Linked DNA regions of Diceros bicornis minor. The protein of the gene in region 1 binds, or shares a complex with, the protein of each later gene. Links are inferred from orthologs where the notes say so. Each region holds a gene or a part of one and is shown on either strand. Other genes may lie near its edges. The genes, in order: XRCC1 and APLF.

Region 1 (16,380 bases):
CTCTGGGTGACTTGGACCAGTGCCTTATTTTCCCATCTGTGAAATGAAAGGGCTGGACAAGAACCATACGTAGGTATGGTTCTAGACCCTGTTTCCTCTGACGGCTGGGGACAAGGGTAACCGATCTGAGGGGCAGATACTCGAGGGATGGTAACCCCATCTCCAGCTTGAGCGTTCAGGCCTCTCCATCAAGTGTGCCAGCCATGTGGAAGAGAGGGAGAGCCACCAGGCAGCGCTGTCCAGTACAAATAGAATGTGAGCCACGTATGTAATTTTAAATTTTCTTGTAGCCACATTAAATTTTCATGTAGGCACATTTAAAAAGTAAAAGGAGGGGCCGGCCCCGTGGTGTAGCAGTTAAGTGCACACACTCTGCTGCTGGCGGTCTGGGTTTGGATCCCGGGCGCGTACGGATGCACCGCTTGTCAGGCCACGCTGTGGCGTCGTCCCATATAAAGTGGAGGAAGATGGGCACGGATGTCAGCCCAGGGCCAGTCTTCCTCAGCAAAAAGAGGAGGATCGGCATCGGATGTTAGCTCAGGGCTGATCTTCCTCGCAAAAAAAGGAAAAGTAAAAAAAAAGTAAAAGGAAACAGGTGAAACTAATTATCATGTTTTACTTAACCCAATATACCCAAAATATTATCATTTCAACATGTAATCAATATAGAAAAGTATTAATGAGATATTTTACATTCTTTTATGCTAAGTCTTTGAAATCTCGTGTGTATTTTACACAATTCAGGTGATAACTTTTCATCAGAAATACCTGACCTCTATTTAGATTTCATAAAACTCATATTTGGAGAAGTAGATTCATATACCCAAGTTGTCCCAATTATATTGAATAGTTTTCCAATAATGGAGATGAGTGTCAATTTTTAAGTTAATTAAAAGTAAGCAAAATTTAAAATTCGGTTTCTCAGTTGCACTGGCCACATTTCAAGTGCTCAGTAGCCACAGGTGGTGAGTGGCTACGGCACTGGACAGCACAGACCTGGAACATTTCCGCTATCACAGGAAGTTCTATTAGCACAGCTCAAGGGTCAGACAGTCCTTCTCCTGACTTTGGGGGTGACCTTGGGCGAGTCACTCAGCAGATGGCATCTACCTCACAGGGTTATTGTGAGAAATCGGTGTATGTACGTATGTACATGCATTCTCTGTCATGCATGTCAACATACCACAGCCCCTCCTGAGAAGACTGGGAGCTCAAAGGTTAGTCTCCTTGCCCCTGCCCACGTGCCCTCAGGCTCCAGCAGCACCCAGATGAGTCTAGTCTGGGCACCTTCTGTCTCAGCCCCATGCCTTTGCTCACAGAGTGCCCTCCTCTTTTTCTACTGCTTTGACACCATCTCTGATTTGGTTCTGTGTGACTTCTCTGCCCTGTGCTTCCTGCTCCAAATCCCCTCTGTCCTCACGCCAATGGCAATCATGCCAGAGCTCATATCAGAGAAAGCAAGACCCACTTTTGTTTGCATGCATCTGTCCACTGGAGTGTGCTGATTATGTGTATATAGTTATATATTGGCACTCTTGGGTGTCTACTTTTTGGGGTGGTTGCCTTTTAAATCATGACTTGCAATGGGATTGAATTTTAGGCTTTGTGGAAGCATAAGGTTGCTAGTGAGGCATCTGTCTCTGGGAGCATCCAAGCAGAAAAGACTAAGACTCCCTTGTGGACTGATCGCTGGCTGCCATCAGGGTGTGTCTACGTGGCATCTCCAGGCTGGAAGACCCTCGAAGGCAAGAATTCAAGGAAATGTATGATGACTCTTAGTGTTGCCATTGCCAGAAGCAGAATAGACACCAAAAACTCGAGTATGAGACAGTCTCATCACCTGAGCTGAGTTTTGTACATTTTTGGATAATGATGGAGGGACTTGTGTCCACTGGGGTGGGGAACCATGCAGGGTGAATGAATCAAGGGTGTGGTTGGTCTGTAGTGCTTTTTGGAGGAGTGAATAAAAATAAGTAGAAATCCCTTTGTTTGTCTGTTCTTTGGGGATTTGAAAGGGAAAAAAAGATACTTGGGATTTTGACTGGAGCTGGAAGCCTGGACCCCTGGATCTGAGGGAGGAGGGGCTGGGGTCCTGGACCCCTGGATCTGAGGGAGGAGGGGCTGGGGGCCTGCACTCCTGGGTCTGAGGGGAGAGGGGGCTGGGTTTTGGAACCCTGGGTCTGAGGGAGGAGGAGCTGGGGGCCTGCACTCCTGGGTCTGGGGGGCGAGGGGGCTGGGCGTTGGACTACTGGGTCTGAGGGAGGAGGGGGCCAAGGGTGGGGACTCCTCGGTCCTGGGAGAGGAGGGACTGTGGGGGTCTGTATAGGAAAGACTCCTCTGGGCTGGAATTGACGGACTTGGATCTGAGTTTTGCCACCCTGGGAGGGGAGTGGACCTGGGACTGTTCAGACCTGGGGACTTGTGATGGTAAAGCATCTTAGCTCTGGAACCAGCCTGGCCCATTGATGCCACCAATTTGTTCAGCTTCTCTGTAGCCATGAACTTGGATAGTCCCTTATCCTGACTCCGCACTTGGCCGTGTGATTTGCTTGGCCAGCGGGACAAGAGCAAACAGGACGCAAGCAGAGGCTTGAAAAGTGCTCATGCCTTGGGGCTCCCTCTCTTGCTGCCCTCAGGACCCCTGCCACCACCGCCACATCAACAAATCCAGGCTGACCTGCTGGGTGATAAGAGATGTGGCCCAGTCAGCCTTGACACTCCAGCCCACAGGCAGCCAACCCACTGAAACAGAGCTGCCTAGGTGACAGGCAGCTGAACCCAGCAGAGACCTGCAGAGGAACCACCTAGCTGATCCCAGACCACATTGGCAACCAGTAGAATCATGAGCTAAATTAAAGGTGATTGTTCTAAGCCACTACATTGTGGAGTGGTTTGTTATGTAACAAAAGATAACTAAGACAGGCTTGTTCCCTTTCTCTGTGATGTGGTCTCTTTCCCCCTCAACATGACTCAATCAATACAACCTTAAGCTCTACCACTTTTTTGCTGTGCAACCTCCAATGTGACATCCCTCCTCTGAGCCTCCAATTCTTCTCTTGAAAGCAGGGATGAGAATAATAATAGTGCATATCACATGGAGTTGTGACGATAAAATGAAAAGCAGCCCCTAAGAGGCCACAATGGCCATTGGTGCTGTTTATGAAACATGTCCATGTCCCAGGGCAGGATTGCACTTCTTGGTCCCCGTGTGGTTTGGTGGGACCACGTGAATAGTCCCGTCCAATGAGTTGTGTCAAGTCACTTCTGGGATTCATTTAATCACCCATATGAGACTTTCCTGTGCACAAAAATTGGCCATGTTCAAGTATAGCCACTCTGTCTGTGATTATGATGAGCAGACGCCCTGTGGATGGTGCAACCATGTGGGGTGAGGGAAGAATCAACCTTTCATGCATGGGTACTTGTTCACAAATACTACCCCGCTCCTCCCACTGGACGGGGAGTACACTTGCCTGCTCCATTGGTGTTGGCTATGACCATATGAGTTACTTCACTCCATGGAATGTTAGCACACCAGATCTCAACAGGGGCCTTAAATACAGTTGGCTTCTGTGCTCCTGTGATCTCTCACAAGAAGAACGTTAGCCAGGTAGCCACTGATCCCAGAAGATTGTGGAACCCCATGGAGGAGAACTTGAATCCTCTTCCCAGACTGGAGCCAAACCATCCAATGCACAGCCAGAAGCAGAGCCACCCCAGCCACCCACAAACGCTTAGAAAGAAGAATGCTTGTTGTTACAAGTCTCAGTTTGGGGATGGTTTGTTACACAGCATCACTGCAGCACTGGCTGACTAATGAAACTTTGTTGTTTTAAACCACTGAGATTAGGGACTTGTTACTGTAGCATAATCTAGTCTGTCCTGATTGGTGACAATATTTAGCACCAGCCAACTAATGGCCACCCAGTAAGTGGCAGCTATTATGATGATTACTATTTAGTCAGACATACTGTCTCTAGAACTGCACTAAGTGCCTTTTTGGTTTTCTTTCATTTGACTCTTACAGCAACACTCTGAGGTTATAACTATTAATATCCATATTTTGCAGACATGAAAACAGAGGCAAAAAGAGGGAGAGGTTATTAGTAGAGGTGATCCTGGACTCTGGAGTCTGACCCTCCCTAGCAGTTTGACCCAAAGCAAGTGACACCACAATCTGTGCCTCAGTTTGTTCATCTGTAAAATGGGGATAATAATGTCAACTACATAGAGTTGTGATTCTGAAATGAGGTACAGCATGGAAAACACTTAGCACAGGGGCCCAGCAGAGAGTAATCCCTTAATAAAAGGTAGGGTCTTCCCTCTGTTCCTTGCAAAGAGGGGGTTCCCAAGGGTTGGGAGCCCCGATGTCTACATCCCCTGCCTCCCCAGGATGCATCACATCACGAGGACTCAGGCTTGCTTTGTTAACCTTTTTAATTTATAGGCACATGGGGAGCTGCAGGCCGAGGACTAATGGAGACCACAAGCCACATGTTCCTCAGTTCTTCACTCAGCCCTGCCAGGGGGCCAGGGGGCAGGAAGGCAGTCAGCTCGGCGGAGGAAGTAGAGATAGGAGGCTGAGGGCACCTGGGCCCCAGCCTTGGCGTAGCAGGCACTCTCTGTAGCACAGCCCCGGGTAGCAAATTTGGCGTTGATTATACCTGGGAGGGGGGTTCAGGCTGGAGTCAGGGCTTCCATCCCCTCCTTCCTATGACCCAGGAGTCTTGGCCCCTGCCACTTTCTCACCCAGTCCCCGCGAGCCACCATCTTCCCTAGAACTTGCAAGTATGGGCCTCCAGTTCTGGGGGCCCTGTAACCTCCTCCAGAGAGCCAGGTGCCTCTCACCAGCCTGCACGTTGCCAGCAAAGTAGACGCAGTGGGTTTCCTGGCCAACACAGCGCGCTGCCTGGGTCCCCGGGCATGTCTCCTGGAAGGGTACAAGGCAGGCAGGGCAGTGGAGGCCGTTCTCAGTACGATTGTTCTGGGGAGCTGGGGATGAGGGTGGAGTGTAAGGTGCATAGGGTCGTTTAGACCCTTCCCCAACCTCACAACAGCCTGGGGAACACCGGATGCTAACGGACACTGCATTTTACAGGTGAGGAAACTGAGGCTCAGAGCAAGATGCTTGCCCAATGTTACAGCGCCGGTCAGTGGCAGGTCAGAGCACACACAGTGGGCTCTTGGGGCTGGCTGGAAGGGACTCCCCATGCGGGGCTGAGCTGGCACTTACGGGGCACGGAGCCTTGGTTGCAGCCGTCGCTCTGGCAGCAGTACGTGGTGGACACCATGTAGTCCTGGGAGCCCGTGGTGGTGGAGACGAAACCCGAGTAGCAGTCACTGAACTTCATGCAGCCCTTGTAGGTGTTCACTGAGTGGCGGCCCTCTGCGGGATGGGGGACCGGAGGGAAGGGCTCGGGTGGCGCTGGCCGATCCCACCCTGGCGTCAACCCCGACCTCGGGGTCTCTCCCAACCATACACCTCCCCCACCTGTGACTCTCTAGGGTGGTCTCCTCCAGCCGACGAAAGCCATGCTCCCTCATCTCCCTGGAGTACAGACTGGAGCGGATTATTCGGTACTTCCCTCACCCCCCTCCTCCCCTGGCCATTGCCTGCCGCCCAAAATGGTCAACATGATCACACTCCTCCCAACCCATCCCAGCCTCTTCCTTCTCTTCTAGCCCCCTGCCCATCTCTTGCCTATTAGATTCTTCCCCTCTCACTATCTCTCTGTTCCCCCGTGTCCTTTCCTCACCCCTCCTACCTAAGAAAGTCTCCATATCTGCCCTCCCATCTTCTTTTGAGTTCTGACAACAATGGTTTCTGTCGTCCCATTGAATTCACTTCCCTCCGTCTGCCTCGAGATAGCCTTCTCTCTTCCCTGCCCACCCACCACGGGACCCGCGATGGTCCTCCCCCCCCACTTCGCGCGGTGGTATCTTCCACCCTGAGGGCACACCCCTCCCCGGGGTCTGGCGCCCCGCGTGCCTACTCGTGCTGGACTCCCCCACGACGATCACGCATGCGTCCTTGCCGGCCTCGCAAGTCTTCGTCTTGCCGCTGCACGTGGGTCCGGAGGCCCTGCACATCTCACAGCTTAGCGGGCACCCTGCAGTGTAGAGGGTGGGGCTGTAGACATGGGTGGTGTGGTGCGGACCACGACATCGACTTCAGAGTCCAGAGGGCGATGGGGGCAGGGGGGCCGGACTTTTGGGTCCTGAGGGACAGGTGTCTCCCTCATTCTTAATGGGCGGGGCATTGAGTGCTGTCCAGGGGACTGTCCGCAGCTCTGACAGGGACGTGGTGGTGATGGCAGCAAAGCTGCTTCCAGGGGCGGGAAGCGACTCCACCAGGGAGCCTGTTTAATTACAAGGCTGGGGAGTTTGGACGCTAGGGTCCTCTGAGAAAGCTCGGGCATAGGGAAGGGTCCTGGCGAAGTTCCCGTGGACTTCTGTGCAGCTTGAGGTCCAGCTGGTTCTTGGACGTGGGACCCTCCTCCTTGTAGGTCCCGCGAGAAGTTCTTGCAGACAGTAGGAGCTCAGGCAGGGGCACCTGAGGTTGGGGTCTGCATCCCAGGTCAAGAAGGGAGAGCGAGGACCAGGGGGGCTGAGGGCGTGGACTCGGCGGTGGTCCTGAGAGAGGAGGCAACTGGGGGCCCACACAGCTGGCTCCTGGGGAAGGTGGGGCTTGCTTGAATTCCTGCATCTAAGGGAGGAGGGGCCGGGGGCCTGAACTCCCTAGAGTCCAGGGAGAAAGGAAATCTCTTCCCCTCTCTCCATCTTTTTTTTTTTTTAATATTTCTCTTTCTAGTCATGCTCTCATGAGATTTTCTAGAATTCAAATGTCTTATTTCAAGACGCTGCCTGGGGAACAGAGGATTCGGAGCCCACCCAGTGCCCTCCTTTCTCAGGGATCCAATTACATAAGGTTTTGAGCCATTCCTCTCCTGGGGCCCCAGGCTCTCTCTTCCTTGAGCCTCTGCCTTCGCCATGAATCTGAATTCCCACGACACCTCCTCTTTCCCCTCGAGGACCTTGCTGAATGTTCTCTCATAGTCCTCTCTCTCCTGAGGTCCTAGGAGTCCAGGCCCCTAGTCACTTACCGAGACCCAGCAGCGTGCAGAGCAGCGCGGAGGCCAGCAGGAGGGTGGAGGGACTCATGGTGTGTGAACCTGCAGTCCTGGTCCCCAGCCCTTATAGGAAGCTGAGGAGGGGCGGGTCTGGACCCACCTTCACCCTGGGGTGATAAACAGCTGAGATAAGATCTCAGGGCAGGCCTCTGCGACTCTGGGTTGGGGCAGTGGAACCAGAATCTGAAAGGGACAGAGGCATCTTGTGCCCAGCCCCTCCTCCATGGGGACCCCAGGAGTCTGGGCTTCCAGCCCCCTCTTCCATCAAGGACCCAGAAGGTCACTTTCCAGTTTTCTCACATTCCCACCGCCCCCCCCCCCGCCTTTTTCCTGGCCTGAAGCTCAAGGTCAGAGTTAGGTCACTTGATTTCTTGTAAGTGTAGAGCAGCTGCAAGCACTGACATCCCGTCCCTCCTCTCTCTTCCCAAGAAGGCGCCCAGCGTGGGTGGGGCCCTCCCTGGGAGCGCCCAGCATGTCCAGGCTCGTTCCACGGGGGCCCGGAGCCTTGTCTCCCTTTCCTTCTCCGAGATCTTGGCTCTACTCCCAGTTCTGTGTTCGGGCTGGACCCCGCCTGGGGCTGCATCCCTGGGTCTCGCGGGGACCGAACAGAGGGGTGCTTGTCAACGGGCAGGGGCGGGCGTGGCGGGAGACAGATGCCCACGCGTCAGATTGGGAAACTGAGGCATGCGTTGAAGCACCCAGGCTGGGCGTGTGTGTCTGGTTTGGGCGCATGCTTTGTGTTTTATTTAGGTCCTTAACCCACTCTCTCTTGGCCTCAGGCGTACCCCTGAGAGAGATCAGAGATTTTTTTCGTGTGTGCGGTGGTGGGGTGGCGAAGAGTGTAGCCACAAGGAACCGGTGAAAGGGATCCTGTTGCGAAAGGCTCCCGACTGCCTGAGAAAAGCCGCTCAGGTTTGCTGTCCTTTTTTCTCTTTATAGGTTTCGGTTTGGGCGGTGATGCGTCATCCAATGAGAATGGCGAGTTTTTTCTAGGGCCCAATCCTGGGAGCCGCTCCTGTTGCTAGGCGCCCAGAAAGCAGAGTGTTTACGTCATCGGGAGGCGGGGCTAGAGAGTGGTGGGGCCAATGAGAGGCGGGGCTAGAGGAGAAGCTCGTTGCTAGGGGACTTGGCGCCTCTCTCCGGGGAGGCGCGACTGGGCTTGCGCAGTGTCGACGCGAGAGCGGGCGCGCCGCGGTTTGAAAGGCCCGAGCCTCGCGCGCTTGCGCACTTAGGCCCGCGCAGGGAGCACCCCCTCCCCGCCCCCCAAACTCGGACCCTTCTTCATCCTTCGGGCCTGGCGAAGCCCACGACGTTGACATGCCGGAGATCCGCCTCCGCCATGTAGTGTCCTGCAGTAGCCAGGACTCGGTGAGGGACTGGCGTGGGGGAGGTTGGAAGACGTAAGGGAATTCTCAGGGGGCTCTGTAAGAACTTTTGGAGTGTAAAAGGGAACTTCATGGAAGTCTTAGGAGGGTCGTGGGGGGATTTCCAGGACGCTCTAGGGAATTCTGGGAGAGATGGGGAATAGGGGAACTTCTGGGCGGCTGTGGGACTTCCGGAGAGGAAAGGAGGAATAGGGGAGCTTGCTTGGAGAGTCCAGAGGTGAACATCCAGGGGACGATGCTGTAGGGGACTCGAGGCAGAGTGGGGGCGGGGATTAACGGGGAAACCTAAATCTAGGGGGGTCATAGGGGGCTTGGGAGGACTGAAAGGAATAATTTGAGAGCTGGGGCCCGCATCTCTGTACCCTAATTTTCCCCTTTCCGCTCTTATCTTCAGACCCACTGTGCAGAAAACCTTCTCAAGGCCGACACTTACCGAAAATGGCGGGCAGCCAAGGCGGGCGAGAAGACCATCTCTGTGGTGCTCCAGGTGATCCTGCCCCCACTCCCCCCCATCTTCTTCTTCATAGGGGTCTGGAGACCCAGGGCCCGGACTCTGCTCTTGAGCCAACTGGCAGTGAGTCCAGGCACTTTGCCTTCCTTACCTGGAAAATGGGCAGCGTGGTCACTGTGCCCCTTAGCAGAGGAGGAAGGTGATCCAGGCGCTAGGCCAAGGATGACCATAGGAATCAGCGTGTGGCCCAAGTTGATGGCTTCTACCTTCTGGGCCTCAGTTTCCTCCGCCAGAACAGAGTGAATCATTGCCATGTATCCTGCCTTCTAAAGTCGGTGGGCTGCGGGCTAGAAGGTGTCTTGGAAGATCATCTAAGCCAATCAACCCCATTTTAAAGATGGGGAAACTGAAGCATCTGGAGGGGAGATGTGAAGTGGCCAGTTTAAGCTACCATTTCTGGAATGCTGGCCAGGCTCTTTCTGGGGGCCTTTGTCCATGCTCTCACCGAATCTGCACCATAGCCTTGTGAATGTGGAGGGAAGCAAAGAGGAAAGGGTGGTTTGACCTGAGATGGTTACAGAATTCCAAACAGGCTGTTCCTGTCAGGGATAAGAAACTGGTGGGAGAAGAGAGCTAAGTGTGTTTTAAGCATCTGCTCTTTACCAGGTGCAGGCCTGGGTGTTTTATCTGCACAAGCTCGCTCTTTACAAGAGCAGTATCGTGTAGGGACCGTTATCACCGTTAATAAATGGCAGTACTAAGACTTGAACCCATTCTTGGTGCTTTTAACCACTCTGTCATACTGCTTTGTATTCACACGTTGGCTTTCTTGATTTTGGCCATATTCCTTATTTCTGAATGTAGGGGTGTTTTGGAGGATGTTCGGGGGCAAGGCTTACATGATTGTGTTGAACATATTCTTGGTCTCTCTCTTGCCCCATGGTTCTGAAAAACTTTTGAGTCACAGAGCCTTTGAGAATTAGAGAGAAGCTGACGATTCTCTTCTGAGGAAAAATATACAGACCTACGAGATTTTCTGAATGATTTTGGGACTTGAAACATCTCCTAAGTCCCTAACATAGTAATAATAATGAGAGCTAACATTTATTCAGTGTTACAACTGCCAGTCACCATTCTAAATGCCTCACATGGATTAACATTGAATCCTCATAAAAACTCCATGACCTAGGATCTGTTATTATCCCCATTTTACAGATGAGGAAACTGAGGCCCAGAGAGGTTATACAACTTGCCCAGAGCCAATACTGTAAACTGAGGGAGATACAGGTTGCTGACAATTTAGTCTTGGAACCTGGATTCAAGTCCTTAGCTCTCCCTCTTACTCACTCTGTGACCTCAGGCAAATTGTTTTATTTCTCTGAACCCGTTTTCTCATCCGTCCATTGGGAATAATGAGATCTAAGCCCAGGGCTGTTGTGAAAATCCGGTGACATAATGTCTGCAGAAGTGCTCTGTGAACATGTAAGTGTTTGTGTAAAGGGAGGGATTCCTGTTATTATTACTGAGTGATGAATCTGCAGGGCTCTCTTATGATCAGGTGACCCCAGGAAAACCACATTCCATTCTGTACCCCAGTTGCAGTGGAAGCAGAAAGACCAGAAGCAGGAGAGACAGGACATGGCGGGATGAGGGAGCCAGAGAGGCCAGAACGAGGCACAGGATTCTCTGGCCTGGAAGATTGAGGGAGGTATCGCAGCTGTCACTGAAACCCAGAGAAGGAGCAGCTTAAGAAGGTGATACGTTTGGTTGGGATGTCCAGGTTTGATGTGACTTTGGGACATCAAGGGGCAGCATCCAGGAGGCAGTGAGGAGTCAGGCATGAAGCTGGAGACAGAAGCATGGAGACTGTCAGCACAGGGACAGGACCTGTAGACTTGGGAGTGAATGGATTCATTTGTTCATTCATTCATTGAATAATTATTTACAAAGCGCCTTCTCCTGGGCCAAGCACTGTTTTAGGGACTGGGGCTATATAGCAGTGGACAGACAGACAAAAATAGATCGGTGCTCTGGAGCTTCACATAGTCGGGAAAGACTGAAATCAGTAAGTGAAACATACGTCAGATGATGAGTGCTGTGGAGGAGAATTAAACAGGTAAGAGGAATGGGGAATGCCTCAGCTGGGGGAGCAGGCAGTGGCAAGAGGTTTTTATTTAAATAGTGATCCAAGAAGGCCTCTCTGAGAAGGTGACATTTTTGCAGAGTGAGCTATGCAGACATCTGAGGAAGAAACACAGACTCCAGGGCAGGCTGGTGCCTGGCGGGCTGGAGGAACAGCAAGGAGGCCAGTGTGGGTGGAGTGGAGTCAGCCAGGGGGAGACAAGTAGGAGGTGAGCTAATGGGGTGGCGGTAGAGGGCCCCCAACACACTTAGGGCCTGAAAGCCATTGTAAGGACTTCAGCTTTTACTGGAGACGAGATGGGAGCCGCTGAAGGGCTCTGAGCAGAGGAGGAATGACTCTGACTTAGGTTCTCAGAGAATCCTTCTGGCTTCCACATTGAGAATAAACTGCAGGGAACAAATGCAGGAGCAAGCAGCATCGCAGCTGTTGATAATTTATCCCACGTTAGAGACTCTTTGGAAAATCTGATTGTATTTGGCACTTGCCAATATGCAGGGTGACTCCAAATTCACCGAATGCTAATTTTGGTTCTTTTCAAGCAAGTGGTAAGGCAGAAATTTCCGGACACCAAGACACGTAGACTGATCTGTGGGTTTTCCTACTACCCTGAATTTTCTCCTCCAAACAATATTATGCAACCTCTGGGTGTTACTACATGGGGTTCAGCCTTCTGCTCGTGACAGCCCCACATGCCTTTTTTGTTCATGGTAGCCACAGGAGGCTCTGTCGCCAACTCGTCACCTGCTCCCAGAGAGTGCCAACCTCTCTGCTAGCCGCTCCTGGGCCTAAGGGGACGACTGGGATGCAGTCCAGGTGTAACTCTGGTGCGGCACTGGAGGTGTGTTCTTTAGAAGAAATGTTTGACAGCAAGGTGACACACGTTTTGTTTTTATTTTTCAGTGGTTTTCTAATCACTCAGTTTGCCATCATGGTGTTTTAAATTTGTTTTTACCTTCTTTTGATGTGTAACGTGTACAGCAGAGTGCACAGTTCAGTGAATCCTCGCAAACTGCAACCTCTGACTCCACACCCACATCAAGTAACAGAACATGCCCGGCCTCTCGACACCCCTTGTGCTCCTTCCTGTCGCTACCCCCGCAAGTGTAATCACGGTCCTGATTTTTAACAACATAGATTTGTTTTGCCTGGTTTTGAATTTTATATAAATGGAGTCACGCAGTATATACTTTTGCATCTGGCTGCTGTCACTCAACATTATGCTGTCATGATGTTGGTTCATTCTCATTTCTGTATAGTATTCCATTGTTGGAGAGAGCCATTGTGGTTTTATTAACTTTACTTTTTGAATGGGTATTATGTGTATATGGTGCAAAATTCAAAAGGCACGAAAGGGTATACATGGAAAAGAAAGTCCCCCTCGCCACCTGCCCCCATCGCCTCCTGCTCCCTCCCCCGACTCCTGCTACCCAGTTCTTCCCTCCTGAGGCAACCACTGTTAGTGGTTTCTCGTGTGGCCCTCCTGGGTCACTGTACACATATAAGCATATACATCCACCCTACCATCCCTTTTTAAAGTACATAGTATATACACTGTTCTCTCCTTTGCTTTTTTTCCAAATAACAGTGTATCTTGGAGATCCACTGTCACTGCAGAAAGTTCTACCTTTTTCTTTTAAATTGTACGTAACCTTTCATGGATGTGGAACAATTTTGTAACATGATGTCTCCCAGGAACTTTGCACGCCTTCCGAGTCCCATTTGTTTCACTGTCATGAATTGTGTCTTCCTGAGAAAGGTGCACACAGACCCAGGCCACAGATAACGGTCATCTGGGGCTTAAGCCCTTCCCTTCACAGCTGACACTTACTGAACACTCACTTCTTTTTTGAGATAAAATTCATATAACGTAAAATTCACCATTTTAACCAAAGTGTACAATTCAGTGGTTTTTAGTATATTGATAATGTTCTGCAATCATCACCACTATCTAATTCAGAACATCTTCATCACCCCAAAAAGAAACCCTATAACCTTAAGCAGTCACTCCCAATTTCCCCCTCCCCAGGTTGCCCCTGGCAACTACTGATTTTTTGTTTCTGGATTTGCCTATTCTGGACATTTCGTAGAAAAAGGATCATACTATATGTGGTCTTTTGTGTCCTGCTTAAAGGTTAGCATAATGTTTTCGAGGTGCCTCCGTGCTGTAGTGTGGATCAGTGCTTCATCCGTTTTTATAGTTGGGTACTATTCCATTGCATGGGTATACCATACAATGTGTGTCCATTCATCAGGTGATGGACATTTGGGTTGTTTCCATATAACTGTTTTTATGAGAAATTTTTTATTTATCAAAAAGAAGAAATACAAAGGAGTATATATATGTGTTTAAAGTAGAAGTAGTTATATAGGCAATAAGAATCATTCATTTAAAATACAGATGCTACAGTAGTCCTCCCTTATCCGAAGTTTCGCTTTCCTCGGTTTCAGTTACCCATGGCCAATGGCAGTCTGAACATATTAAATGGAAAATTCCAGAAATAAACAATTCATAAGTTTTAAATGTCACGCTGTTCTGAGTAGTGTGATGAAATCTCGCGCCGTCACTCCATCCTGCCTGGGATGTGAAACATCCCTTTGTCCAGTGTATCCACACTGTATACGCTCCCCGCCCGTTAGTCACTTAGCTGTCGTGGTTGTCAGATCAGCTGTTGCAGTATTGCAGTGCTAGTGTTCAAGTAACCCTTATTTTACTCAATAATGGCCCCCAAGCGCAAGAATAGTGATGCTGGCAATTTAGATGTGCCAAAGAGAAGCCGTAAAGTGCTTCCTTTAAGTGAAAAAATAAAAGTTCTCAACTTAATAAGGAAAGAAAAAGAATCGTGTGCTGAAGTTGCTGAGGTTGCTGAGGTCTACAGTAACTTTTATTGTAGTATATTGTTACAATTGTTCTATTTTATTATTGGTTATTGTTGTTAATCTCTTACTGTGCCTAACATAAATTAAACTTCATCATTGTTATGGATATATAGGAAAATATAGTACATATAGGGTTTGGGACTATCTGTGGTTTCAGGCAGCCACTGGGGGTCTTGGAATGGATCCCCCATGGATAAGGGGGGACTGCTGTATATACAGCCTACTAGATGTAGGGCCTTGTGCTTTATATTATGGGAGAAATCAAGATGTTGAGTTTTTACCTCAGGATTGAAATAGGAGAGTTGAGAAAAAGTGTTGGTTTATAGTCAGGCAGTTGGGTCCACATTTTTCTGCCAGTCATTAGCTGTGTGTGACATGTGAGCTATTTATTTAACCTGTCTGAGTCTCAGTTTCCCCATCTGTAAAACTGGGATAGTAACAGACCCTTCCTCCTAAGGTGCTTGTGAGGATTCAGTGATGTCTGGCCCAGGAAGAGCTTAGCCAAGTGTGGTAGACAGAATAATGGCCCCTAAAAGATGTCCACGGCCTGATGCTCAGAACCTGTGAATATGTTCCCTCACGTGGCAAAAGGGACTTTGCAGATGTGATGCAATGTCTTGAGATGGTGAGAGCATCCTGGAGATCCGGGGGGGGACCCAGTGTAATCACAGAGGTCCTTATAAGGGAAAGAGGGAGGCAGGGGTCAGAGTTGAAGGGGGAGATGTGAGGTTGGAAGCAGAGGTCAGAGTGATGCCATGCTGGCTTTGAAGATGGAGGAAGGGGCCATGGCCTCTAAAAGCTGGAAACAAGGTAAGGAAACATATTCTCCCCTGTTACTTCCAGAAGGAATGCAGCCCTGCTGACACCTTGATTTTAGCCCAGTGAGACCAAATTTCAGACTTCTGACCTCCAGATCTGCAAGAAGTGTTGTTGCTTTTGGCCACTAAGCTTGTGGTCATTTGTCACAGCAGCAGTAGGAAACTAGAACACAAAGCGCCTGGCACACAGAATCTGAAAATGTTAGCCAGGATGGTCCTTTTGTGACAGATGGGGACACTGAGGCAAGTGACTCACCAAAACCACTGGTCAGGGAGGGCGGAGCCAGAGTTACAACCCAGGGGGCATTTGTTCCTTTGTCAGATGGTTTCTGGGGCTTCCTCTCCATCTGTGCATCCATCCATCAGGAATGTATTGAAGGCCTCCAGGGATAATAGTATCAGCTGCCACTTAGGGAGTGTTTGCTCTGTGGCAGGCTCCGTTCCAGGGATTTTGTGTGTGTATGCCCTGTTTGAATCTTCCCAACAACTCTAGAGGTAGAAGTTGTTACTGTCCCCATGTTACAGGTTAGGAAACTGAGGCCCAAGGGGTGAAATGAAACCATTTGCTCTAGGGTCACACAGCAGTAAGTAAACAGAGCTGGGAAGGACCAGACGCTGTCCTTGGCATTGGGGACACAGTGGGGAATGACTCAGATATTGTCCTTGCCCTCGTGGAGCTTAAAAGTCTAGTAGAGGAGACAGATGCTAGACAAATACAAATAGAAACCGTAACTGTATAATGTCAAGTGGTGACAATGAAGAAAAATAAAGCAGAGTTAGGGATAGAGAGTAGCACATAGTAAGAGGTGAGGGAGCCTGCTCTGGTTGGTCTGAAGAGGTGACATCTGAGCAGAGACCTGAGTGATGGAAGGAGCCAGCCCTGGGAAGGTTTGATGATCTAGGCAAGGGGATGGCAGGTGCAAAGGCACTGCGGTGGGAAGGAGCTGGCCTATTCTTGGGACAGAAGGAAGGCCGGCGTGGCTGGAGGAGAGCCATCAGTGTGGCGGGAGGCTAAGTCAGACTGGGACTTCTTGTGTACTTGGGCAGCACCACACCCCGTCCCAGGGCTCAGAGCTAGAAGCAGCAGTGGAGGCAGAGGGAGGCTCCAGGAAGCCAACCCTGTGCAGCCTTGAGAAGGCCCTTCTCTCAGCACCGCTTCTTTCCCCAGCACACCTGGACTCCAGCCAGCCTGCCTGGGCTCCCATCCCAGCTCTGCCGCTCACCAGCTGTGTGACCTTGGGGGCGTTACATAACCGCTTCCTGCCTCCGTTTGCTCACGTGTGAAATGGAGATAATAATAGCCCTTGCCTCGCAGAGCTGTTGTGAGGAGAGAAGATATATGTATGATGTGTCTGGCACATCGTGAGCACTTAGATGTGCACTGCAATTGTTGCTGTGGTTGTAACTATTCCGTGTCGTCTCAACTCCCTTCAGAAGGAGGGTTATTAGGACGACCCTCCCTTTTCACATGTGAGGGAACTGCGGCTCAGAGAGGTTGTACCTCACCCAGGGCTGCACAGCTTGGAAGTGGCCGGGCTGGATTTGAACCTAGGCTTGCCTCACCCCAAGTCCATGC
Region 2 (15,586 bases), on another chromosome or scaffold:
ATCCTGAAAAACAAAACCAAAAGCTGGAGGATGCTCCTGGTTAAAACAGATTAAAGGGGCATAAAAAAATGATATGCATATGTAAACTTTGTTTGGCCTCTGAATCGGAAAAAAAATCTATAAAAGATATTTTTGGGGGCCATTGGGGAAATTTAAATAGGGATTATAAATTAGATGGTATTATTGAGTTAAAAAGTTTTAGATGTGAGAATGATATTGTATACCGGCGAGTGTACTTAGGAGACGCATGCTGAAGGGTTTAGGGGTGAAGTATCATCATTGTGCAACTTATTTTCAAATGCTTCAGCCAAAATAAATGATAAATAAAACAAATGTGGAAACGTTAACAACTGCTATGTCTAGGTGAAGGGGATACATGAGAGTTTTTTGTCATATATTTACTTTTCTGGGGGTCCAAAATTTTTCAAAATAAAAAGTTGGAGGAACAGTCTTGTCTCGTTTGAATTACTCATTCTCAGCTAAGTTTTTAATTCATTCAATAAAAACTAATTAAGTACCTACTATGTATTACACACTCTTATAGGTGCTGGGAAGTAGTGATGAACTAGATAGATAAGCTTATTCTCCAAAATTCAGTTTCCTCATCCATAAAATGGATATAGAGTAACAGTACCCTCCCCCCACCCCACAGACACACAAGCACAATGCTTGTAGCAGAGTAGGCACTCAGTAAATGTTGGCTATTATAATTAATCGTCTTTGTCCATTGTTGATCTAATTTCATCCATTTGATCATTTTGGTCTTTCAACTCTACTTTAAATAAAAATGTGTGATTTTCCATCATATGTATTACTCTTCCCAAACCATTTCCTGATGTTACTACCCATCCTATTTTTGTTAATATTATTGGGGCATTTGAAGGTTTGGAAAGAACATATTATATAAAGTCAAAGTAAAGATGAAATTAAAATGGTTAGGGTATATTTTTCAAATTAGGCTTGTATATACATGAGTATTCTAAGGTCTAAAGCTTATATTCTTATAGATTTTATTGATGATTACGTCCTAGTCTAAGATTGGGTTATAAACTAGACGCAACTAAAGAAAGGTTTCTAAAAAAAAAAAAAACAAAAAACACTAGATCTTGAACTGAATAAATATTAAACAACAGTGGAAATTCCTTAATACTCTGTCCCAATAATCTTGCCTCTTTTTACAAACTGTGTATAGGTAACGTCATTTTATCTATGAGTAAGAGCACTCCTTCCTTCCATTCTACTCCACCCACTCATGTACTCAGATGCTAATGGCTTGGTCTGATAAATGCACAGTTCATTCTAAGTCCATACCATAAAATTTATCACTAAGTTCCCAAACTTTCCTTTCAGTGTAGACGGTGATCATAGCTTATAACTTATTATACAAAAAATTATTTTAATGCTATAGTACTAAAATTCAAACTAAAGATTATTCACATAACTTGCAAAATAATACTTAAAACTGCTTGGGGTGACCCAATAATTAAAAATAATAAGTGATACTTTTGGGTTAAGTTTATTTTCAAATGTTTATTAAAGAAAATAAAACAAAAAATTTCTACTTTCCTATTTTTCTCTTACAGCTTTTGAGAAGACTAGAACAATTATTCATATATTAGCATTAATATTAAGCATCCCATACATCTTACAGGTTGTACATTGCATTTCAATACAGTCTTATCCGCTAACAATATAGCATATTATTTTTATTAAACATTCTGGGTAGGACTAAAATAAATAATATAGAAATAATTTAAGAAATCTTTATGGACTATCTACTATGTTCTAGGTTTGAGGAGTAGAAAAATAAATAAATGGTCCCTGCCATTAAGAAGTTCACAGTCTAAACGGAGAAACAGACAAATAAAACAGACAATTTAAAGTAGCACGACAGCTTTGAGAGTGGTGTGCACAAGGAACTACAGGAATCTTAAGAGGGCCACTTAATCTAGAATGATAGAAGTTAGGGATGGTTTCCAGGTCAAGATGATAAGTTCTAAAAAAGAGTTTGCCAAGAAAAGAATTACTGGTGGGTGAGAAGAACATTCCTATAGATGGAATTGTCAAATAGTCCTAGAGACTGGACTGGCCCCTTCCAACTCTAAGAAGACAGTCAGAGACAACCAACCATCAGGTGCTTGATCCAATAATGGGAATTTGTATAGAGTGGAGCATCTCTCCGATATTTGCCTATTTGTTAAATACTGGTTTCCTGGATTCTCATTTTTTGTGCTATCGAGCACACTTTTGGAAGAAAACCCCATACTAACTAAAATTTTTTTGTAGATACTTTTTACTATGGTGCTGACCACAGATTCAGAACAATCTGGTATAGTACTTTTTTTTTTTTTTTTTCTTTTTTTCCTTTGTGAGGAAGATCAGCCCTGTGCTAACATCTGCCAATCCTCCTCTTTTTTGCTGAGGAAGACTGGGCCCAGGCTAACATCCGTGCCCATCTTCCTCCACTTTATATGGGACAGCGCCACAGCATGGCTTGCCAAGCGGTGCGTCGGTGTGCGCCCGGGATCTGAACCAGCGAACCCCGGGGCTGCCACAGTGGAATGCGCGCGCTTAACCGCTTGCACCACCGGGCCGGCCCCTATATCATCTACTTTTAAGAAAAAGAGAACAAAACGAATTAAAGGTTCCTGGAAAACTATAAACTTTAACAAAGTTAGGTATATAGGGTTCTCTAAAATATTTTTCTTTCTTTTAAATGTGGAGAAAACAGAAAGGAGCTGAAAGTCCTTTGTCTTGGTTATCTACAAGTAGTACACTAGATGGTGCCGTAAGGCTGTCAGAAAGAAAGTTTCACCAAGAAAAACAGTGTGGCAGTTCTGATGGCAGTTAAGTATTCTGGAAACTTTCCACATATTTTCAGCCCCTGAGAGCAATTCCAGGTCTGTAGGCAAGTAACGGGATCTTAATCTCACAAGTTTTAGCCATTTGGTCAGATTAGTTTTAAACTAAACCACAAGTTTTTAAACACATTTTAAAATGGTTTCAGTGTGTGACAATTCAATCTGATTCCACTGAAGTGGAAATTTTTAAGTTACTGAAATAAAAATTTATTATACATTTAAACATATTGCTATTAATTTCATTTAGGTAGTCTTCCCATGAGCCTCGTTATGTCTACTACTTAATGATTCTCTAAGTCAGTTTCTTTGAATGGTTTCCTGAATTTTTAAATTATTATTATGCAGAAAATACCAAACTCTCTTATCTTTATTAAAGTACTGCAATATACTAATACAAATACATGAAACAATACATTTTGAAATCACTCTATCAGTACAGTATTTCTTATATAAATAACATTTCATGATTTTTCCACATTACAATAAAACCAGAAAAATATTTTTTACTAATAAAGTGCAAAATAAAAACAAAGCTTTACTTTTATCATATTTTCCACTTAGTTTTCTTTTAAATGTTAAACATTAAAAAGGTGAACAAAAAAACTGAATGGATAAAGATATACCTTTTGCAACTTACGAGTCATTTTAAACTCTCAAATTTATGAGATGTTTGTGATTTTTCTGCTTATCTTTCCAGTTCTGCTTCTAGAATCTCCCCCCATGTATCTGCATCCATCGGGTACATGATTTTTTCTGGTAGGCTAACAGAAGAACATATGTTGCTGTATCTGCCACTTAACCATTCATATTTCACTTTACTCTTCTGGTAATTCCTCAGTAGTATTACCTGAAAGAGGTAAACCATCATCGTTAAAAAATGTAGTAGGCGGTTGGTTAGTGAGTTTGTTTGAAACTAGAGAAGCTGGGCTGGGCCAGTGGCGTGGCGCTTAAGTTAAGCTCGTGCGCTCCGCTTCGATGGCCTGGGGTTCCCTGGTTCAGATCCTGGGCGTGGACCTATGCACTGCTCATCAAGCCGTGCTGAGGCAGCGTCCCACATAGAGGAACTAGAAGGACATACAACTAGGATATACAACCAGGTACTGGAGGGCTTTGGGGAGAAAAAAAGGAAAAAAAAGAGGAAGATCAGCAACAGAAGTTAGCTCAGGGCCAATCTTCCTTAAAAAAAAAAAAAGAGAAACTAGAGAAGCTGATGGACAGGGCTAAAAAGAATGAGTATTTACATTAATATACATATATACTCATAAATGTGTGTGTATAAGTGTATATATATAAAGAGTGAACCACAGAGTTTGCTGAGGATTTTAGATAAGGAGGAGTGAAAAGAAGTAGCCACTTTCCTTCTGGTTAACGGGGGAAAATGGCCGAACTTAGGATGTAAAAAAATGTAAAAAGATGGATGGGAGACAGTGTGGTTTGCAGGAAAAGAAGAATAATTCAACTTTAACACTAAAAGCCAACACACTCTGTATGTCATTGTGTATATGAACCCCTGCCTCCTCCAAGTAGAAGGCAGTTGGCTCAAACCTACCACCGTCTTGTCAAGCACACCGTAGACTACAAAGATTAAACTTACCCTCCAGGAGTAACCCCTTTTTTGATCATCATCTATTTCTCTTTGGCACACAGCTCTTACGGTCAAGCAATGAGGTTTCCATAAAGAGTCACTGTTTCTTATTGCGTAATTCCAGCTCCTGCATGCCATTGAAGCCCTGCACAAACTCCGAATGTCCAGCTGACTGAAAATTTTAAAAGTAACTTCTGGAGGCAGCAGTTCAACAAAGTTATTTTGACTCTCTTTTTTTGCCTTCTCAGCATCCACAGAGTTCAAGTCTATGTCAGAACTTCTTGAATTATTGTTTCTCTTGGAGTTTTTCTGCATAGCGTGATGTTTTAGTAAATTATCCTCATATGTAACCTAAAAGGCAAAGTTTTAACTTAGTTTCTTCAGATCAACCCTGATACTTTCTGGGTATGATCTAGAAAACTTTAACTTTCCTGACCTGAGCTTCTCAGTCTGTAAAATAGGGCGAATGATGCTCTTCTCCTGTGTGTTCTTGCAAGGATTAACAGGGATAATGTGTAAAACATCCAGCCCTCACACTGGAATTGCACATGGGAAGCACTCAACATATGTTATTTCCCTTCTTCTTTTTAAATATTTTTAGTAAACGGGTTTGTTTCTAAACATTTATTTTTCTGCTCCCAAAGAACATTACCTAAAAACGAGAAATGAGAAAAAAAAAAGAGAGAAGTGATTCTTCACAGATATAATTTATTGATTTTAGTAGTAGAAATGACTATTGTGAGAACACATTCAATTTCAAATATTTATTAAAAATACTTTTGAAAATGTGTATGATTCAATTCTATTAAACTCTTGAAAACTTGATGTCTGTGGGACCTGATGCCTTGTCATTAAGTTCTTCATCTACAATTTGTGACTTAAGCATAAACCTGATGGACTTTTAGTAGTTTATCTAAGAATTATTTATCTACTTGTATCTAGTGGGTAAATTCTCACATTTGATGCAAATACTATCTGAAATAGACAAGAGGTTGAGGCCTGGGTTTTAATGCCACAAAGTCTCAAATATTCAATTCAGTTATAAGATTAGTGTTTTAAAAATGACCTCCTGAAGCTATCCTACATGCCAAGTTAATTATGAACTAAAGATAATAGTTACTTAGGCCATCAAGCAACAGTGACTAACAACTATAAACGACGTTTATAATGCAGTTAGGTATAGCTTGTGACTAAAGATTTAAAGTCCAGTTTCAGCTAGTTTACCTAAGGTGCATGTTGCAGGTTTCTGAAATCAGTTGAAAGCATGGAGCTCTTTTTGCATTTAAAACAACTAATATTTATTTAAAATCAGTTTATTCTATGTTGCACTTCCTTTTATAACGGGGTGGGGGGTGGCACTGCAGGAGGTGCGGTTTCAGATACAGCTAAATACTTCTTTTAACTCAGCTAATGACAATTCCCCTTTCTAGATGCACTACTCACCTATATGTTTCTGGACTTGCCAAGACCACAGTTGCTCCCATTCATTCATTTGGTTGCTTACGATCCAAATTAGCTATGGTGGTTAGACTTTTAATGTCTCAGTTCAACAGAGGACTTCCTCTTGAGGGTTTGGGGAAGTAAGAAAGTAAACTGGTAAAAATAAGTTCATGAATCAAGAGCAAGGGGGTGTGTGTGTGTGTGTGTGTGTGTGTGTGTGTCCCCGCCATTAATACAAACCAAAGCCAAACTACCATATTCTTGGAAAGAATCTCATATTAAGAGAAGGTTACTGTGCATCTAAATGTTTGTTACTTCTCCCAGGATCTCATTGGGGAATAAACTGAATGTTACTGTTCTCCCGTTACAGTTACTCCACAGGAGGCAGATGAAGGCTTTTGACTTGAACAGTCGGGGATGCCTTGGTGAAGTTCCTAAAATCCTATTAGGCATCTTCTTCTAAACCCAGTTTTGCCTGGAGCCTGGAAAACTATCCCTCTTCTGCCCCTTCTTCTCTATGAACCAAATTTTGCTGAATTACCTCTCTAATCAGTTATGAGCTCGCCCCTTGTTCAGGTGTCACACGGAGGGAGGGGTCGAGGGCAGCACAAGACGGAGGGGCGCCACCTGGTTCTCTAGGAGGCCCCACCCGGTCCAGACCACGCAGGTCGCAAAGGAATGACCCCAAGTCCCATCTGAGCCACCCTCCTTGCGTGCCTTGCGCAGGCTGCACCTGCCCGAGTGCAAAGAACACGGGGCACTGACAAGTGAACAACAATAACAACTGTCAGCACCGACTGTCACCGCAGCTCGGGGCCGCGGAGGCGAGGCTGCGCTGGCGCCAGGACTGCGCCCCCGGTCGTGCCCACCCGACGTCTGCGGGCAGGGAAGATCCTCCTACCTACTGGGCCGCGGCGGCTTCTCCTCCTGCGATTTAAATCCTCCGCAATTCGAATTTTTCGCCATGGTCCTTCACGTCCCGCCCACTTTAGCCCGGCCTTGCTGACTCAGATGTCGCACAGGCGTAGAGAGGAACGCGCACTGCCTTTTGGGATTGGTAGTTTTACCAGGGCGTCTCAGCTCGGCAGGGGAGGAGAAGGAAGCCGGCAGGGACTACAAGGTCCGGCGTCCTCCAGGCCCGGACGGGGGGAGTGAGAAAGGGTGGGGGGATTAAACCGGGGCTTTCAAACGATAATTTTGAGCCCGCCGGATGGGGGAATCGCTGAGTGCGTAGCTTGTCGGAATGGAAAGGCGGGGCTGGGACACCTCTCTGGGGCCCCTGCTGCGCGGGGACTGGACACGGCTGAGCCGAGTCTTTGCTCCCCCTCCCCCTGTGTTTTTCCGGGGGCCGGCGTAGGTCCCGCGCCTGTCCATGGAAGGCGGAAACGGTCGCGGGGTCCATCTCCTTGTGAAGGGGCCTGATCCTCGCCGCCATGTCTGGGGGCTTCGAGCTGCAGCCGCAGGACGGCGGCCCCCGGGTGGCCCTGGCGCCAGGGGAGACGGTGATCGGCCGCGGGCCGCTGCTGGGAGTAAGTGTGGCCCGGGGCTGGGCCGGACCCGGACAGCCGAGGGAGGTCCTTGCAGGCTCCCAACGCCCCCCTCCCCGCCCTGGCCCGATTCCTCACCACGCCAGCTCTGCCTGTTTGGGTATTAGAAGTTTGGGGCCAGCACGTTTTTCAGTCAACTTGAATCAACTCACAAACGTTTCCTTATGTTGCCTTTAAAAAGCACTGACTTATGTTATCATTATAACCTTATCCAGGAGCCCACAAACTATGACCTTGGGTCCAAATCCAGCCTGCTTTTCCAGAACTAAGAATGGTTCTCAAATTTTAAAATATAAGCAAATAAAAAACCTCTTAGCTTTTCAGAGAGAATAATTGCTCCAGGGATTGAGGATAGTGCCTCTTGGCCTGACAAGCCACAGTATCTGGAGTAGTATCTGGCCCTTTACAGAAAAAGTTTGCCAACCTCTGATCTTACTTTTTTTGTATGTGCAATTTACACTTTTCACCCTTCTGCTCTGGTAACCACCAATGTGTTCTCCTTCTCTATGTCTTCACATAAGAGTGAAATCATGGTATTTGGCTTTCTCATCTGACTTATTTTGCTTAGCATAATACCCTCAAGGTCCGTCCATGTTGCAAATAGCAAGATTTTATCCTTTTTTTACTGGCTGAGTAGTATTCTATTGTGTGTATACCACATCCATTCATCCATGGATAGGCACTTAGGTTGCTTGCAAGTCTTGGCTATTGTGAATAATGCTGCAATGAACATAGGGGTGCATATATATCTTTTCAAATTAGTGTTTTTGTCTTCTTTGGATAAATATCCAGAAGTGGAATAGCTGGATCATATGGTAGTTTTATTTTTAATTTTTTGAAGTCTCCGTACTGTTTTCCGTAGTGTCTGCAACAGTTTATATTCCCACCAGCAGCGTGTGAGGTTCCCTTTTCTCCACATCCTCTCCAACACTTCTTATTTCTTGTCTTTTTAATAACAGCTGTCCTGACCAGCGTGAGGTGATATCTCATTGTGGTTTGATTTGCATTTCCCTAATAATTAGCAATGTTGAATATCTTTTCATGTGCCTTTTGGCCATCTGTATATCTTCTTTGGGAAGATGTCTGTTCAGATCCTCTGTCCGTTTTTTAATCTAGTTTCTTTTTGTTGTTGAATTGTATGAGTTCTTTAAGTATTTTAGATATTAACCCCTTATTGGAAATATGACTTGCAAATATTTTCTCCCAGTTGGTAGGCTGTCTTTTCATTTTGTTTATGGTTTCCTTTCCTGTACAGAAGCTTTTTAGTTTGATGTAATCTTGTTTGTTTATTTTTTCTTTTGTTTTCTTGGCCTTAGGAGACATATTCAAAAAGATACTGCTAAGACTGATATCAGAGGGTACTGTGTATGTTTTCTTCTAGGAGTTTTGTGGTTTCAGGTCTTACGTTTAAGTCATTAATCTATTTTTTTTTTATTTTTTTTTGTGAGGAAGATCAGCCCTGAGCTAACATCCATGGCAATCCTCCTCTTTTTGCTGAGGAAGACCGGCTCTGAGCTAACATCTATTGTCAATCCTCCTCCTTTTTTTTCCCCCCAAAGCCCCAGTAGATAGTTGTATGTCATAGTTACACATCCTTCTAGTTGCTGTATGTGGGACGCGGCCTCAGCATGGCCGGAGAAGAGGTGTGTCGGTGCACGCCTGGGATCTGAACCTGGGCCACCAGTATCAGAGCGCACGCACTTAACCGCTAAGCCACAGGGCCGGCCCCATTAATCTATTTTGAGTTAATTTTTGTGTATGGTGTAAGATAATGGTCTACTTTCATTCTTTTGCATGTGGCTGTGCAGTTTTCCCAGCACCATTTATTGAAGAGACTTTGTTTTCTCCATTGTATGCTCTTGGCTCCTTGTTGAATATTAGCTGTCCGTAAATGTGTGGGTTTATTTCTATGCTCTCATTTCTGTTCCATTAATCTGTGTGTCTGTTTTTGTGCCAGTACCACATTGTTTTGATTACTGTAGCTTTGTAGTATATTTGAAATCAGGGAGTGTGATGCCTCCAGCTTTGTTCTTTTTTCTCAAGAGTGCTTTGGCTATTTGGGGTCTTTTGTTGTTCCATATAAATTTTAGGATTCTTTGTTCTATTTCCATGAAAAATGTTGTTGGGACTTTGATAGGGATTGCATTGACTCTGTAGATTGCTTTAGGTGGTATGGACATTTTAATTTTAACTATGTTAAGTCTTCCAATCCAAGAGCATGGAATATCTTTCCGTTTCTTTGTGTCTCCTTCAATTTCCTTCTACAATGTTTTATAGTTTTCAGTGTACAGGTTTTTCACCTCCTTGGTTAAATTTATTCCTGGATATTTATTCTTTTTGTTGCGATTGTAATTGGGACTGTAGTCTTGATTTCTGTTTCTGCTGTTTCATTGTTAGTGTATAGAAATGCAACTCAGTTTTGTATGTTGATTTTTGTACCGTGGAACTTTACTGTATTCGTTTATTATTTCTAATAGTTTTTTGGTGGATTCTTTAGGTTTTTTTAATATATAAAATTATGTCATCTGCAAATAGTGACAGTTTTACTTCTTCCTTTCCATTTGGATCCCTTTCATTTCTTTTTCTTGCCTAATTGCTCTGGCTAAGACTTCCAATACTGTGTTGAGTAAGAGTGGTGAAAGTGAGCATCCTTGTCTGCTTCCTGTTCTCAGAGGTATTGCTTTCAGTTTTTTATCATAGAGTAAGATGTTGGCTGTGGGTTTGTCATATGTGGCCTTTATTGTCTTGAGAACTTTCCTTCTATATCCATTTTATTCAGAGTTTTTATCATAAATGGTTGCTGAGTCTTGTTGATTGCATTCTCTGCATCTATTGTGATGATCATGTGATTTTTATTCTTCATTTTGTTAATGTGGTATATATCACATTGATTGATTGGCTGATGTTGAACCATCCTTGAATCTATGGAATAAATCCCACTTGATCATGGTGTATGATCCTTTTAATGTACTGTTGTATTTGATTTGCTAATATTTTGTTGAAGGTGATCTTATCTTTTCTAGAATAATTTCTTTTAAGCTTTTGGCCCTTTTTGTGTGACTGTGTGGTCCTTACTTTTATTGTAGTAGTCTTTTTTGGTAATATAAGTAGCTAACCGTTATGTAGTGTGTAGTGTTCCAAGCATTGATTTAAGGACTTTACATATACCAACTTCTTTAATTCTTTCAAAGCCCTATGAGTTAGGTGCTGTTATTATCCTCATTGTCCAGATGAGAAAATTGAGGCGTAGATTGGTTATTTAAAGGGCACACATAAGGTTTTGGACACACAGTACCTCTAAGCTCTATATTCTCCACCTTCTTTGGGATATTTGGGAGTTAGAAAATTTGCCTCTTGCATTCAGGAGTTTTGTAGATCTCTCCCTAAATACATATGTATTGTTTTCTTAACATTCAGCATATCTTGTTTAGTGCCCACTTTGTGCAGCACGTTTTGCAGGCCCTAGCACTGTGGAACATACAAAGATGAGTGAGATCTGGGTCCCTGCCCTCTAGGAGTTTTCTCTTGAACTGTGGAGACAAACCTGTGTAACTGAGCTAATACCAGGGAGTAAGGAATGTGGAATATTATCCTGGTTAACCTCTAGTGTCTAAATAGAACCGTTGATATTAGCGTTAGGACCCTTCTCAAAGCAGGAAAAGGAGTGGTAGTTCAAGGTTGTGATGGGAAAGTCAGTCCTAAAGGGGTGTGTGTGTGTGTGTGTGTGTGTGTGTGTGTGTGTGTACATATATGTATATGCAGTAAGGTTATTGAGAAAGTTGAAGTTCACCTGCTGTTATGTTTTTTACTGGACAAGTAATTACTTAAATGTTTAAATAGCATTCTATTACTTTTCTCCATAGTTTATTAACCTATACAGACATTTGAAGGGACTGCCTGGGAGGTTTTCTTTTTCTCTTTTCTCTCTCTCTCTCTTTCTCTTTCTGTATCTCTCTCTCTGTCTCTCTATCTATATCTAAGTTAGAAACTTAACACAGTATGTGCTTCATCTGGAAATGTTATGTGTGGTGACTGATGAGTTTTGATTTGCTTAATAAATTGTATCACCAACACAGAACACTGTGGATCTGGCTTAAAGACAGATGGATTTTGGGCCTCTATTTTACAAACGTGGCAACGTGTTGCAGTCCGTTTCATTATTTGTAGCTTCATCTTTCTGTTATAGGCTTGCTAATGTGAGATGACCTATTTGGTTTCTGTTTTTAAAAATGGTAAGGAGTAGGGGCCGGCCCGGTGGCGCAAGCGGTTAAGTGCGCGCGCTCCGCTGCGGCGGCCCGGGGTTCGCTGGTTCGGATCCTGGGCGCGCACCGAAGTACTGCTTGGTAAGCCATGCTGTGGCGGCGTCCCATATAAAGTGGAGGAAGATGGGCACCGATGTTAGCCCAGGGCCGTCTTCCTCAGCAAAAAAAGAGGAGGATTGGCGGATGTTAGCTCAGGGCTGATCTCCTCACAAAAAAAAAAAAAAAAAAAAAAAAAAAAAAAAAAAAAAAATGGTAAGGAGTAGAAAGTTAATTATCTGGTCAGGATTTTACTTTTCCTTTCCAAATAATCGTTCAGTGATGAGATTCTCTTGCCAGGTTTGGCAGATATTAGAAGTGGTTATGAACAACATCCTAAATGCATTGAAGGAAAAACTTAAAGAACAAACAAATCACCTTACAGTTTTTAAGATTTTGGAGCTGACAGACAGATGTGTTTCTTTTCTGCAGTGGGTAAAACTCAACACGAGGGCTGTTGTTTCAAACAATAGCTATTCCAGTGAGATTCTTTTTTTTTAATGTGAGACAGCAAAGACTTAGTTCTAAGTGGGAAAACTCAGGAAGTTCATGGTAAATTTGTATCCATCTGAAATGATTAATAATAATAAGGATGGTTTTTGAAGTCTCTCACTTAACTAGCCATGTTTTTTGGAGATAAGTTTCACAAAAGTTCATTGGCCACACAAGCATAAACGTTTGTAATTCCAGTGTGTAAAACAGTCTTGGTGGTAAAACAATTTGACAGTGAGAATGTCTTTATGTCTTTACAGTGGCAGGAACACTCGTAGATAACAGTGCACAGGGAAGTTTACTTTTCTTGTGCCCTTTGCTTTAGTGTGCTTCGTCAGCAAACCCAAGGTCTTTATTTACTTTACTAGGTTGTAATTCTGTTTCATGATCTGCACCAATAAATAAAAGGTTCTACAGCAGGAGGAGTCTCCAGGGGATTATCCAGGGTGAAAACAGTCAGTCTTGAACGTTACATATTGTATGACTTCATTTATATAACATCATTGAAGTGACAAAATTATAAAACTGAAGAACAGATCAGTGTTTCCAGGTTTTAAAAAAGGGAGGAGAGGGGCCAACCCAGTGGTGTAGCTGTTAGGTTTGCGTGTTCCACTTGGCAGCCCGGGGTTCACCAGTTCTGTCCTCTGGGTGCGGACCTACTCACCGCTCATCAAGCCATGCTGAGGCGGCGTCCCACATATAATATAACTATGTACTGGGGCTTTGGGGAGAAAAGAAAAAAGAGGAAGATTGGCAACCGATGTTAGCTCAGGGCCAATCTTTCTCAAAAAAAAAAAGGAGGAGAGGAGCAGGGAGGGAATTGGATATAGCTATAAAACAGCAACATTGGGGATTTTTGTGGTGATGGAAATGTTTTGTATCTCGACTGTATCAATATCAGTATTTGGTTGTGATACTGTATTATAGTTTTGCAAGATGTTACTGCTGGGGGAAACTGAGTAAAAGGCACAAGAGATCTTTCTATGTTATATCTTTTAACTACATGTGAATCTACAACTATCTTAAATAAAAAAATTTAATTAAAAAGAAAATTTTACAGTATGTACAGCATCTCAGGCAACAGAGTACCTTTAAGCCAAATTATTAGCTTTATGGTTTTTCTGTACTTAAAGCTGATTACACTCTTAAATGAAGACTGCTGTTTCTGATTTCAGATTTTCCTTATTTTGTTTTGATAGCAGGGATTATAGGACACATTTCTTTATGATCTATTTTCTTGCAAGGAAATAGAACAGCGCCAGGTATCTAGTGATACTTCCTATAGGCAGCTGTAGTTGAATCAACTGCTTTAATTAAAAAGAGAAGAGTCCCCCGTTGGGGGTGGCAATAGTCATGGACTCCAGTGTAGACTCTTCACATGGCATCAGTTCACCACTTCTAAGAATGCTGTACGTGTTCCACAAAGTTTACACAAGTAACCGCTCCCTAGCCTGGCAACTTTGTACTGTTCCTGCTTGTTGCAGAATCCCACTGGCTGTCCTGGAATGCTAGTCTTACCTGGTGCAACAAGGTTTGTCCCTAGGGATGTGGCATACACTTCCAGCTGCTGGGTTTTGCCCCTTCCTCACTTAATTACTGAGCCTAGTACAATGCCTGGCACATAGTAGGCCGTCAACGCATGATCTCTTCCTTTTCTGCCTCTCAGCCTCTCACTTCCAACTCTCAAAAAAAACCTACTTATAACTTAGGTGTAAAAAGGATGTCTTAGAGTTTTGAAGTGAATTTAAACATAGTAAAGAAGCAGTGCTACCAACTGAAAAAACTTAAGGAGCAACATTCACGATGGATTGTGTTACCATGTTTCCTATTTCGTTGACCAATAATTTAGTACATTCAGAAAATAGTTGATAAATATATACTATAATCAGATGGGAGGGATGAAAGAGAAATAAGTCCTTGGTCTCGAGAAACTTACAGTTTAGTAGGTGTGAGAGACACAGAAGCGAGTAACTAAACGGGGGTTACAACCTCGAATGGGGAGTGGAGCCAGGCTGGCACCTTGAATGAGTGAAGTGGTGGGGTGTACGCACAACACAGGGATAGTGATAAATGACAGCAGTGTTATAGACGACAACTGCCTCGGCATGGGGGAGGCCTTGAGGAGAGGGATCTGTAGTGCAGTCCCTGCTACTCACCCCCATTCCCGCCTGGCAACGGTGTCATATCGTTTTTTCCAAGAGCAGTAAGAAATGTGGATTTTTAGATATAACCTCTAATTTTTAAAAGGTCGCATTTAATTAAAAGTTTTGTTTCAATACCGTGAGCCAACAGAAGGATGTTACATGATGCAGAGAGGTATAGGAAGGAACCCACGGTTGAGATGAGGGGTCAGAGAAGCCTTCATGAACTCTGTGACATATTGAGAAGATTTTGAAGTGTTAGAACAGAATTTTGGTAGGTGGAGAGTGGGAAGTTGGGAGGGAAGGGGCCTTCAGGCTAAGTGAATGTACGATTTAAGGCTCTAAGGTTCGAAAGCACCTGGCGTATTGGATAATTAGATAAGTGCTGACTAGACTTGGGGGATAATCACATTACATCCATGATCCCGTTTAGCTTTTACAGTATGTACTAGTTTTCTTTTTTTTAAATAGGCTTTATTTTATTGAGCAGTTTTAGGTTCACGGCAGAATTGAGTGGAAAGTACAGAGAGTTCCTGTATACCCCTGCCCCCACACACGCACAACCTCCCCCGCTATCAATACCCCATACCACAGTGCTATATTCAGTGAACCTATGTTGACGTGTCATTAGCGCCCGAAGTCCGTAGTTTACACTAGGGTTCACTCTTGGTGTACGTTCTGTGGGTTTTGACAAATATGTAGTGACATGTATCCACCGTTGTAGTATCGCACAGAGTAGTTGGACTGCCCTAAAAGTCCTCTGTGCTCTGTTCATCCTTCCTTGCCTTCCCAACCCCTGGCAACTATTGAACTATTTGCTGTCTCCACAGTTTTACCTTTTCCAGAATATCATATAATTGAAATCATACAGTATGTATATGTAGCCTTTTCAGATTGGCTTCTTTCACTTAGTAATATGTATTTAAGGTTCCTCCATGTCTTTTCAAGGCTTTTTAGTGATGAGTAATATTCCGTTGTCTGGATGTCCCACAGTTTATCCATTTACCTATTGAAGGATATCTTGGTTGCTTCCAAGTTTTGGCAATTATGAATAAAGCTGTTATAAACATTCATGTGCACATTTTTGTGTGGACATATCTTCAGTTCATTTGGGTAAATACCAAGGAGTGCAATTGCTGGATTGTCTGATAAGAGTGTGTTTAGTTTTGTAAGAAACTACCAACTGTCTTCCAAGGTGGCTGTACCTTTTTGTATTCCCACC

Evidence for each region.
Region 2: the proteins of XRCC1 (region 1) and APLF are in contact, whole or in part, in a crystal structure (PDB 5W7X), measured with the Homo sapiens proteins. The link is inferred for Diceros bicornis minor from reciprocal best matches to the Homo sapiens genes XRCC1 and APLF. Residues at the interface, in NP_006288.2 of Homo sapiens: Pro514, Tyr515, Ala516, Gly517, Ser518, Thr519, Asp520; in NP_775816.1 of Homo sapiens: Arg27, Gly28, Pro29, Gly32, Ile33, Thr34, Lys36, Arg37, Val38, Ser39, Arg40, Arg41, His58, Asn60.

What each region holds. Positions count from the first base shown.
Region 1 is NC_080773.1:18,183,141-18,199,520, reverse strand, and holds the start of XRCC1 (DNA repair protein XRCC1), read left to right. Parts: upstream 1-8,341; 5' UTR 8,342-8,447; coding exon 8,448-8,498; intron 8,499-8,909; coding exon 8,910-9,002; intron 9,003-16,380. Other genes in the region: PINLYP (phospholipase A2 inhibitor and Ly6/PLAUR domain-containing protein), read right to left, coding at 4,510-4,664, 4,849-4,992, 5,234-5,386, 5,994-6,110, 7,104-7,161. UniProt on the Homo sapiens protein: Scaffold protein involved in DNA single-strand break repair by mediating the assembly of DNA break repair protein complexes. Negatively regulates ADP-ribosyltransferase activity of PARP1 during base-excision repair in order to prevent excessive PARP1 activity.
Region 2 is NC_080751.1:19,794,306-19,809,891, reverse strand, and holds the start of APLF (aprataxin and PNK-like factor), read left to right. Parts: upstream 1-7,109; 5' UTR 7,110-7,319; coding exon 7,320-7,415; intron 7,416-15,586. Other genes in the region: FBXO48 (F-box only protein 48), read right to left, coding at 3,547-3,708, 4,456-4,761. UniProt on the Homo sapiens protein: Histone chaperone involved in single-strand and double-strand DNA break repair.